3 linked regions of the Callithrix jacchus genome follow. The protein of the gene in region 1 interacts with the protein of each later gene in a pairwise test. Links are inferred from orthologs where the notes say so. Each region holds a gene or a part of one and is shown on either strand. Other genes may lie near its edges. The genes, in order: KPNA1, ANP32B and SF1.

Evidence for each region.
Region 2: the proteins of KPNA1 (region 1) and ANP32B interact in binary tests that used the Homo sapiens proteins (3 or more experiments, as listed by UniProt). The link is inferred for Callithrix jacchus from reciprocal best matches to the Homo sapiens genes KPNA1 and ANP32B.
Region 3: the proteins of KPNA1 (region 1) and SF1 interact in binary tests that used the Homo sapiens proteins (3 or more experiments, as listed by UniProt). The link is inferred for Callithrix jacchus from reciprocal best matches to the Homo sapiens genes KPNA1 and SF1.

The regions. Positions count from the first base shown.
Region 1 is NC_133516.1:80,575,546-80,579,196, forward strand, and holds part of KPNA1 (importin subunit alpha-5), read left to right. Parts: intron 1-1,221; coding exon 1,222-1,353; intron 1,354-2,462; coding exon 2,463-2,551; intron 2,552-2,920; coding exon 2,921-3,020; intron 3,021-3,651. UniProt on the Homo sapiens protein: Functions in nuclear protein import as an adapter protein for nuclear receptor KPNB1. Binds specifically and directly to substrates containing either a simple or bipartite NLS motif.
Region 2 is NC_133502.1:146,121,309-146,124,959, reverse strand, and holds part of ANP32B (acidic leucine-rich nuclear phosphoprotein 32 family member B), read right to left. Parts: intron 1,691-3,651; coding exon 1,541-1,690; intron 1-1,540. UniProt on the Homo sapiens protein: Multifunctional protein that is involved in the regulation of many processes including cell proliferation, apoptosis, cell cycle progression or transcription.
Region 3 is NC_133511.1:121,835,125-121,838,571, reverse strand, and holds the end of SF1 (splicing factor 1), read left to right. Parts: intron 1-300; coding exon 301-481; intron 482-744; coding exon 745-1,018; coding exon of another isoform or gene 1,019-1,022; intron 1,023-1,335; coding exon 1,336-1,395; intron 1,396-1,507; coding exon 1,508-1,687; intron 1,688-2,436; coding exon 2,437-2,774; 3' UTR 2,775-2,814; downstream 2,815-3,447. UniProt on the Homo sapiens protein: Necessary for the ATP-dependent first step of spliceosome assembly. Binds to the intron branch point sequence (BPS) 5'-UACUAAC-3' of the pre-mRNA. May act as transcription repressor.

The sequences.
Region 1 (3,651 bases):
ATTTAGTGTTAGAGATATATTTGAGTAGTATGCTCTATTTTTTGTTGGTCATAATTTTCTTTATGTCTTCTGTTTACCAGTGCTGTAATGCTGCATATCAACCTTTGGTCAATTTACCTTCGTTTTTTTCAATCCCTGTTAAGAATGCTCTTTTAAAAAGTCCTATCTCTGTACTTTGGTTTGGATTTCTCTCATTTATGGGAAGCTCTTATGCTTTGAAGTTGTCATTTCTTTTCATTATATGCTTAACTCCTTTGACCTGCTTAACATTTGATACCTTTTGCTTTTCTCACTGTGCCTGTACATTATGTTTTACACTAACATTTTCTCCCCATTTTACTTTGCCCATTCTACAGAAGTTTTAAAGTTTTTTTTATTAGATAGCATGCATGGTACAGGCCAAAAGGCACATAAGGCTTTCCACTGATAAGTGTTTTTTTCATCCTTGTTCCCTAGTTATCATGACCTTTCCCTGCAGCCAACAAGTATTTAGTTTCCTATAACTCCTTCTAGAGATAATCTGTGCAATTAGTAAGTTAATGCATGTATTCCTTGTAATACTTTTAGAAAATGTGGGGCCGGGTGCGGTGGCTCACACCTGTAATCCCAGCACTTTGGGAGGCCGAGGCGGGTGGATCACGAGGTCAAGAGATTGAGACCATCCTGGTCAACATGGTGAAACCCCGTCTCTACTAAAAATACAAAAAATTAGCTGGGCATGGTGGTGTGTGCCTGTAATCCCAGCTATTCGGGAGGCTGAGGCAGGAGAATTGCCTGAACCCAGGTGGCAGAGGTTGCGGTGAGCTGAGATCGTACCATTGCACTCCAGCCTGGGTATCAAGAGCAAAACTCCGTCTCAAAAAAAAAAAAAAAAAGAAAGAAAATATGGTATAATGTCATATTAATGTACACTGTTTGCATTTTGTTTTCGTTTATATCTTTGCAGATCATTCCATATCAACATTTGTAACACTGTCTCATTCTTTTTATGGTGTCATGTCCACTCTATCTTGAACTGAAATTTCAGACACCCTGAATATTCTTCTAGGTTGAGGTGTTTCTTCTGGAAATTCTTTTAAAATTAATATAGTACTCAACTGATAGGTTATGTGTAAATAATGATCTCAGAATCTTTTTTTACATGTTCAGAAAGAGTTACTGTTATAAGTAAAAAAGCTTTACATTCTCAAAAGATAATGAAAATTATTTTTATCTTTGTAGTTTGAATCAGCTTGGGTACTGACAAATATTGCTTCAGGAAATTCTCTACAGACCCGGATTGTGATTCAGGCAGGAGCTGTGCCCATCTTCATAGAGTTGCTCAGCTCAGAGTTTGAAGATGTCCAGGAACAGGTAAAAATGAAACAGAAAGAAGCAGGTGAAAGAATAACATTTTTCCCTTCAATCATATTCAGGGATTGAGTTTTACCAGTTGGCTTTGATAATCTATGGATTGTCACAAAGGAGTGTTCTAGAAATCTAGTCTTAACCAAATAGAAAATTTCTTAGTGAGTGTAGGCAGAATTTTTCTTAGACACATAAAATAATCTTCCCCTTCCAAACCTGACATTCTTTAAGCCCTGAGTATGTACTTTCTAAACCTTGTAAGCAGTTACTAGTAGAGGTTTTTGCTTGTAGAAATTTCCAGTGTTGAAAGTAGGCCAGGCACTGTGGCTCACACCTGTAATTCCACCACTTGGGAGGCTGAGGTGGGCAGATTGCTTGAGCCCAGGAACTCAACCACTCAGGGCAAAATGATGAAACCTCATTTCCACCGAAAAAAAAAATTAGGTGGGCATGGTGTTGCACACCTGTGGTCCTAGTTACTTGGGAGACTGAGGTGGGAGGTTCACTTGAATGAGCTCCAGGAGGCAGAGAGGCTGCAGTGAGCTGAGATCACAGCACCACACTCCAGCCTCGGTAACAGAAGGAGACCTAGCTCAAAAGAAAGTAGTAAGTTTTTATCACTTTTGTGCAGAAAATAGTTTGTTTCACTGTTTTATTTTGTAAGCCAGAAAAATACCTTTTTTTTTTAATGGAGTCTCTGTCACCCAGGCTGGAGTGCAGTGGCACGATCTTGGCTCACTGCAACCTCTGTCTCTCAGGTTTAAGCAATTCTTGTGCCTCAGCCTCTTCAGTAGCTGGGATTACAGGCATCTGCCACCACACCCGGCTAATTTTGTATTTTTAGTAAAGATGGGGTTTCACCGTGTTTTACTCGATACTGGGTGACAGAGCGAGACTCCGTCACCAAAAAAAAAAAAAAAAGAAAAGAAATTGGTTCTTTCCTTTAATAAACTGAATACCTTTAGTTTATTATACACTTTAGAATATTATTTATCTTCTTCCTCCAACCACACAACTGTTTCATTTGACTCCCTGATGAATGTGTTACTGTGATATACTGGCATCTGAAAGAATTAGAAGGGAGTACATAACTTTTATTAATGATTCTTTCACAGGCAGTCTGGGCTCTTGGCAACATTGCTGGAGATAGTACCATGTGCAGGGACTATGTCTTAGACTGCAATATCCTTCCCCCTCTTTTGCAGTAAGTTTCTTCTTCTTCCTTTTTGACAATAAAAACATAAGAGATTCCTCAGAAAGCAGTGCATCTCTGGAAATCATTTTGGATTTTCTGTTGTTATTTTTCATTCCAGACATTTTCTTGTTTAGATCATTTCCTCAGAAAAAAGGAAAAAACGAGGGGAAAAAAAGATCATTCCCTTAAGCACTCTATCTTTCTCTCATGTCAAAATTCTGAATTACTTGTATCAGAATTAATGAAGTTTTAATGTTCTGGGGAAAAGCTATCTGAAGACATCTCTTTATCAAAAGTACTATTACTTAGTATTTATATTATGTTTTCAGAGAATCAATGTCTATTATATAGTTTACCATTGTACCATCATGCTTATAGGTTATTTTCAAAGCAAAACCGCCTGACCATGACCCGGAATGCAGTATGGGCTTTGTCTAACCTCTGTAGAGGGAAAAGTCCACCTCCAGAATTTGCAAAGGTAAGGACTGTGCTTTTGGGACATTGGCAGAAAAAATGCAATTATAAGAGTATAGCAACCAATAGTAAGGTGAACAGAAAGATAATTTTTGTTAAAACTTAAAATGTTAGAATTTTATCTGTTTTTGGAGAAACAGGGTTTTTGTTTTTTTTTTTGGTTCCCTTTATTATTTGAAAAGCAAATTTAAAGCATAGCTTGAAGATGCACATTTATGTAGGGGCTGCAAATAAATAAAAGCATAGCATAAAGGGAGAATTTGTAAAGCTCATTGAAATGAGACTTCATACAATTAGTATACTGTATTAAGAGACTCTTCAGTTCTCCTAAAACAGTGGTTCTCAAAGTATAGTCTGGGAGTCCATGAGATTTTTTTTTTTTTTTTTTTTTTGCAGTAGGTTTTAGGGGAACAGATCAGGTGTTTGGGTACATGAGTAAGTTGTTTAGTGGTGATTTTTGAGATTTTGGTGCACCCATCACCCAAGCAGTGTACAGAGTACCCACTGTCTAGTCTTGTATTTCTCACCTACCTCTCATCCTTTACCCCAGAATCCCCAAAGTTTATTGTATCAATCTCATGCTTTTGTGCCCTCATAGCTTACATCCCACTTATGAATGAGAACATCTGATGTTT
Region 2 (3,651 bases), on another chromosome or scaffold:
TCAGAACACTCAACCTGCCTTTAAGTATGATTCCCTCTCATTAGCCCTGTAAAAGAAGTGATTAATGTTTAAATGTTAAAAGTTTTAAATTCAGGCTGGGCACGGTGGCTCACGCCAGTAATCCCAGCACTTTGGGAGGCTGAGGCGGGTGGATCACGAGGTCAAGAGATCGAGACCATCCTGGTCAACATGGTGAAACTACGTCTCTACTAAAAATACAAAAAATTAGCTGGGCATGGTGGCGCGTGCCTATAATCCCAGCTACTTAGGAGGCGGAGGTCGCAGTGAGCCGAGATCGCGCCATTGCACTCCAGCCTGGGTAACAAGAGTGAAACTCTGTCTCCAAAAAAAAAAAAAAAAAAACTTCTAGTTTTTAATTCACGTACTATACTTTTTAAAAAAAAAAATCGAGACAGAGTCTTGCTCTGCTGCTGGAATGCAGTAGCACGATTTCGGCTCTCTGCAACCTCAGCTGCCTGGGTTCAAGTGATTCTTGTGTCTCAGCCTCCTGAGTAGCTGGGACTACAGCCACGTGCCACCATGCCCAGCTAATTTTTTTATATTTTTAGTAGAGACGGGGTTTTGCCATGTTGGCCAGAAGGGTCTTGAACTCCTGATCTCAGGTGATCTACCTGTCTCAGCCTCCCAAAGTGCTGGGATTACAGGCGTGAGCCATGGCGCCGACCTCATGTATCATACTTAACCCATCCCACTTCCTGCAAAACAACAAAACCTTCATTACAAAAAAAAAACTAACTGTCCCTCTCAGAACACAAGCAAGCTCTGGGAACAGCCTACCTTTACCTAAGTTTGATTTTATTTCCTTCTATGTGTGACTTCGTCAAAAAAAGGTACAACTTAAGTTTCCTAGTACAGTGAATATTGAAATGGCAGAGAATTCTGCAATACTTATATAAGCACACATTTTTTCCTATATAATGGAAAAGGTATGAGGTTAGGAGAGATATGGGTTCTAGTTTTGGCTCTAGTACTAACCGTTTCTGTGGGTGGCTTTAGGCAAATTACTATACTTTTCTGGGACTATTGCTGTGTCTGTAACATAAGGAGCTGGGTTAGAAGAGCAAAGTTTTTTCCAATTCTGATGTCCTGGGACTCTGTGACAGTTAAATGTGCAATGACAAAAGAAAACATTTTTCTGTAGCATTTGGTCCTTTTTTTCGAAAGGATAAAGAACTGGTTTTATAACAATTAACAAATAAATTACTCACAAAACACAGTAATTATTCTTCCTAACTATTTACTGAGCACCCGACATGCATTATTTCCAAACATCACAGCAATTCTGCAAGGTCAGGTAATGCCACCAGTTTACAGGTGAGGAATTTGGGCCTTAGAGAAATTAAGTAACCTGAAGAAGATCACCCATCAAGGAAATGATAGAGCTGGAATTCCATCCCATATCTGCCCAGTTCCAAAGGTCAAGTGCTTTCTGCTATACTAAGTGCTTCCTTACAGGTAAAATCATACATTTTCCCTTCCCAGGTTTGTTCTCTTTTACTGTTAAAGGAAAAGCACCTACCTTTTTCAATTTAGGCAGCTTGGGAAGATTTGAAACTGAAATCAAGCCTACATTTATTAAACTGAGGAACTCTAAGTTCACAAATTCAGCTGTTAAGCCCTCAATTTTTCCATCATTTGATTTGCAATTGTCCAAGACAAGTTCTCGAACCTGTGGATGACAAAAAAGAATAAGCTCTCAGAAAAATTTCTGAAAACAAAGAATGCAAAAACTTCCACCATAAATACCCTGCAAAAACACCCATATAATATGGGCAGCCTCTTAGACTTAGAGCATAGTTATAAAAAGATAAAAAATAATTAAGCCTTCAGTAGCAATATGCTAACAGATTCAAAGATGGAATATTACTAGCATAAAACACTCATGTTCCAGAAACGGACACTATACTTTAGATGTAAGTGAAGTAAGTGTATTCCCCTTATTTCTTTTCCCCAGTCTGTTCCCCAAAGGGCAGCTTTCATTTAAATGCAAATACAGAGTGAAAACACTCTTTAGGCTAATCTACCTTAAGTCCCAGAAGATGACCACAGAAAAGAGGAAAGCTTTATTTTTCCTACCAAGACCACTAAGAGATTCTGGCTAGAGATTTCTGTACCAACACACTTTCCAGCTCTGGTTTTATTAATCTTTGCCAAGATTATCTTGACACCGGGAAGAAATCAGGATGCAAGAGTCCTTAATTCAAAACAAAAATCGATCTGGTTTGCACATGAGAAAGATGTTTCTAGAGAATTGTTAGATAATAAGTTTTCATTTTCAGGCTACATCTGGCCAGGTACAGTGGCACACGCCTGTAATCCCAGCACTTTGGGAAACCAAGGCGGGCGGATCACCTGAGGTCAGGGGTTCAAGACCAGCATGGCCAACATGGTAAAACCCCCTCTCTACAGAAATACAAAAATTAGCCGGGTATTATGGCGAGTGCCTGTAATCTCACTACTTGGGAGGCTACAACGGGAAAATTGCTTGAAACCGGGAGGCGCAGTTAGCTGAGACTGCACCATGACGCTCCAGCCTGGGCAACAGAGTAGAACTCCATCTCAAAAAAAAAAAAAAAGCATCACATCTGATGATTTGAATTTTTGAATACTGATTATTTAAGAGTCTACATGCAGATCTACCACAATAATTCATATTGCCATTCTTGATCACCCTGAAACTTGCAACTTTTTTAGCCCACTTTGATCTACTCACAGTGATGCAAATTACCATTTTAACTGCACCAACAAAGGCGGAATGCCTTTGTAAAGAATTTTAGTGAACCTACCATATTTAATGGCATTAATCAAGCATGTATATGGGAGATGCTAATACTCTGAAAAGAGAACAGGAGCTATTAACAATGTCCTCATCCTCTCATACAAAATCCAATGATGTTACTCTAATAATTGCTTTCAATTATGAAGTAAACATTTATTCTTTCTACCACCACTCTCCTTCCCCCATTTATAGAGAAAGAAACAGATTTCAAGTCAGCAATACCCATAACATAGTAAGTGCCTAACCACTTCTCACTACCCTGTCTACTTCCTCTTCAGAAGCCAGGCATACATTTTACTCTTTACATCCACATACTTCCTCCCTCCCTTCCTTCCTTCTTTCCATTTTTCTTTAGATATCTCTGCCATTCTTCCCTTTTAAGAAATGAGCACATCTGAAAAAATAGGTCAACTCTGACAAAAGCTGGGCTCTGGAAACAAGATGTCTGGGGTCGAATCCTGGTTCTCCTCTGCCACGCAGAACTTGTACAACTTTGTGTAAGTCACTTCACTTCTCTGTGCCTCAGTTTCCCATGAAGTGGACATAACAGTACCTACCTCATGAAGTTGTAGGAACTAGGGCTTGGAACACTATAAATGGCCAGAAAGTAAACTCTGGGTAAAGGGAATGGGAAATGTCAGAGACCTTTGCTGTATTTTTATATTTGTATTAAATTTTTTACAAGCATGTATTTATTGTTTTTTTTTTTTAAATTCTGTATTAAAAAGAAACTAGGCTGGGTGCGGTGGCTCATGCCTGTAGTTGGGAGTTCAATACCAGCCTGATGATCATGGAGTAACCCCATCTTTACTAAAAATGCAAAATTAGCTGGAGGTGGTAGTGCATGCCTG
Region 3 (3,447 bases), on another chromosome or scaffold:
TTTTCTCAAACTGGGAATGAAGTTTGATGGAATTGAGTTGAGAGAACCTGTGCTTCAGTGATGCTTAGGGTCGTCTGTGCTCTTCGCCCAGGGCCTCTGCTCTGGCGATCTCAGATGCAGAACTGGGCACGACACTGAAGATTGTTGAGAGACTGTTGAGAGCCATGTTCAGTAAGGGGTTAGAAAGATGTAATGATCTGATGATTGAATCCTTCAACACTTTCTGTATGTTGGTTTCTCAGGGTAAAAGCTTCCGTAATGAGTTTTTCCACTTTCTCTCTGTCTCCCACCCCACCTCAGGCCTGGTGATCCCCAGTCAGCTCAGGATAAAGCACGGATGGATAAAGAATATTTGTCCCTCATGGCTGAACTGGGTGAAGCGCCCGTCCCAGCATCTGTGGGCTCCACCTCTGGGCCTGCCACCACACCCCTGGCCAGTGCACCTCGTCCTGCTGCTCCCGCCAACAACCCACCTCCGCCGGTGAGCCTGGGGGCAGGTTCTCTTGGTCTGGCTTCCCCATTCTCTTCTGCAGAGACTGGGAGCTATGGCCATGTGCTTTGGGTAGAGCAGATCGATGGATATGGATGGCAACATTGTTCTTCTGGGATCTCAAGCCAATTGGGGACTTTTCTCACTTTGGGAAGACCTCGTTCTTGTGTTCTAGTCCTGTGGCATGAACGGAAGAACAATGTTGCCACCAGGGGGCGCAGGCAGGGACGTTGGCTGGAAATGCTCTCACGTAGTCTCTCATGTCCACCACTCAGAGTCGCCCACCCTGGATGAATTCTGGCCCTTCAGAGAGTCGGCCTTACCATGGCATGCACGGAGGTGGTCCTGGTGGGCCCGGAGGCGGCCCCCACAGCTTCCCACACCCGTTACCCAGCCTGACAGGTGGGCATGGTGGACATCCCATGCAGCACAACCCCAATGGACCCCCACCCCCTTGGATGCAGCCACCACCACCTCCGATGAACCAGGGCCCCCACCCACCTGGGCACCATGGCCCTCCTCCAATGGGTAAGTAAGTGTCAGACCAGAAACCTTGGGGCTTTGGGATAAGCAGGGGGTTGCGTCAGGTCACTGAGCTAGAAGCAGCTCTCAAGTGGCTCGGCAGTGTGCCGGGTCTGCCTGACTTGCCAGGGTTATGGCTCTGGAAGGAGCGAGACTTCATTCTGGTACAGGGAGTGATTCTGTGTCAGCTAGGCACAGACACTGCCTTTTACAGGCATGGTTTTCAGAACTCCTGTAAGGATAGCAACTCAAGTTATCACAGGGGTGGCTTCCCTGGCCAATTCCAATGTCCTGCTAAGTCCCTGCTCTTTCCTTCCATCAAGATCAGTACCTGGGAAGTACGCCTGTGGGCTCTGGGGTCTATCGCCTGCATCAAGGAAAAGGTAATGGCTGTCTGCTGGCTGTGGGTCTTCACCTAGGTTTGGGCACGTGGGGACTGTGGCCCAAATCCCCCCCTTTCCCTAAAGCCTCATCTTTGCCTACACCTACCTGCAGGTATGATGCCGCCACCGCCTATGGGCATGATGCCGCCGCCGCCTCCGCCTCCCAGTGGGCAGCCCCCGCCCCCTCCCTCTGGTCCTCTTCCCCCATGGCAACAGCAGCAGCAGCAGCCTCCGCCACCCCCTCCGCCCAGCAGCAGTATGGCTTCCAGTACCCCCTTGCCATGGCAGCAAAGTGAGTAGAATATTTTGGGCTTGTGGGCGTGGGTGGGATGGGGGTGGGCCTGAGAGGAACCGTAGAGCCTCACACCTCACACAAGCAGGCAGGTGCCTTGGGATGAGCCCCTGAGCTCTGCTGGGGTTGTAAACAGAAAGGGCCTCCTGGTCCGGGGGGTAGAGGGGCATCTTGGAGAGGAGAGCTGATGTTTGGTGTGGTTGTGTCTGGGGAGAGGTTCGTGGGGACCTGGAGGGGAGCCTGCTGTTGTAGGTAGGGGGACAGAAGTCCCGTCCTCACGGGCTGAGTGAGCGGCTGGCTGGACCGAGCCTGGTGCATATGGCCCGAGTGGGATGGTGCATGCTTGCTCTGGCGAGGGCTGTGATTGGGGTGAGAGACTGCAGAGGTGGGACCGGGCAGTGGGGAGAGAGCAGCTGTGGCCTTGAGGTTGAATGTGCCGTTCGGTGGTGGCGGCGGCTGGGCGGAGGGACGTCAGAGCTGTTTTTGTGTCTGGTACCTTCCCCTCAGCCCTTCTAGGGGCATTGGTGACAAAGGGCTTACTCTGTTAAGCCCAGAGACCTCGAGGCTGACCCCAGGGTAGTCCTGCCCACCCCTCCACTCCCATCACCAGCCCCGCCCGCCCGCCCCCCACCACCGTACCGCATGCCAAGCAAGGAGCAGGCGCCCCTCGCCCCCATCCCAAGGCAGCAGCCGCAGACAGCCGCGGTGTGCCCCCGCGCGTGTGACCTTGGGCTTCTTTACCACCCCAGATACGACGACTACCACCACGAGCGCTGGCACAGGGTCCATCCCGCCATGGCAACAGCAGCAGGCGGCTGCCGCAGCTTCTCCAGGAGCCCCTCAGATGCAAGGCAACCCCACTATGGTGCCCCTGCCCCCCGGGGTCCAGCCGCCTCTGCCGCCTGGGGCCCCTCCCCCTCCGCCGCCTCCACCGCCTGGTTCCACCGGCATGATGTATGCCCCGCCCCCTCCTCCTCCGCCTCCCATGGACCCTTCTAACTTTGTCACCATGATGGGCATGGGGGTGGCGGGCATGCCGCCCTTCGGGATGCCTCCAGCTCCCCCACCGCCTCCACCACAGAACTAGACTTGTTTTTTAAGAAAATATATATTATATATAGAGAGAATTGGTCTCGTTTAAACACGCCGAACCTCACCATATGGAGCCAGACATTGGGACGCACGCATGTGATTGTGTGTGCACGCATGTGTGTGTGTGCACGCACGGGGCTGGGCCAAGCGACTGAGGATTCGCTTGGGAATGGGCAGTGGTAGTAGGGGCGCCAGCTTGGGCTCTTCTGGCGCCCCGTAGCATCGAGTGTCTTCTTTGTCTTCTTTCTCTCCTCACCCAACTCCCTTTGCCTCTCCCCAAACCGGGCCGCCAGGATCCCTCCCCGCGGCGGCGATGGCCCGAGCCATGAGAGTGAGGACTTTCCGCGCCCATTGGTGACCCTTCCAGGCAGACAGCCTCAGCAACGCCCCTGGTGGACAGGATGGTTCGGCAAAGCAGCCTGAGTTATTTTTGTGGACGGAATCGGAACACGCTGGCTCCATATCGTGAAATTTTTATTAATTTTTTTCTTTTTCCTTTGTTACTTCCTTATCTCTTCCTTTCTTCAGACTCCGTCCAAGGAGATGCTCTCCCCGGTCTTCTGCTACAATTAGATTCTTTTCCCTTCTCTCCAGTTCTTCCCTTACCAAGGAGAGGGGAGCAAATGGTTTTGGGCATGGGCTTCGGCCATTCATGCCAAGCTGGTTGT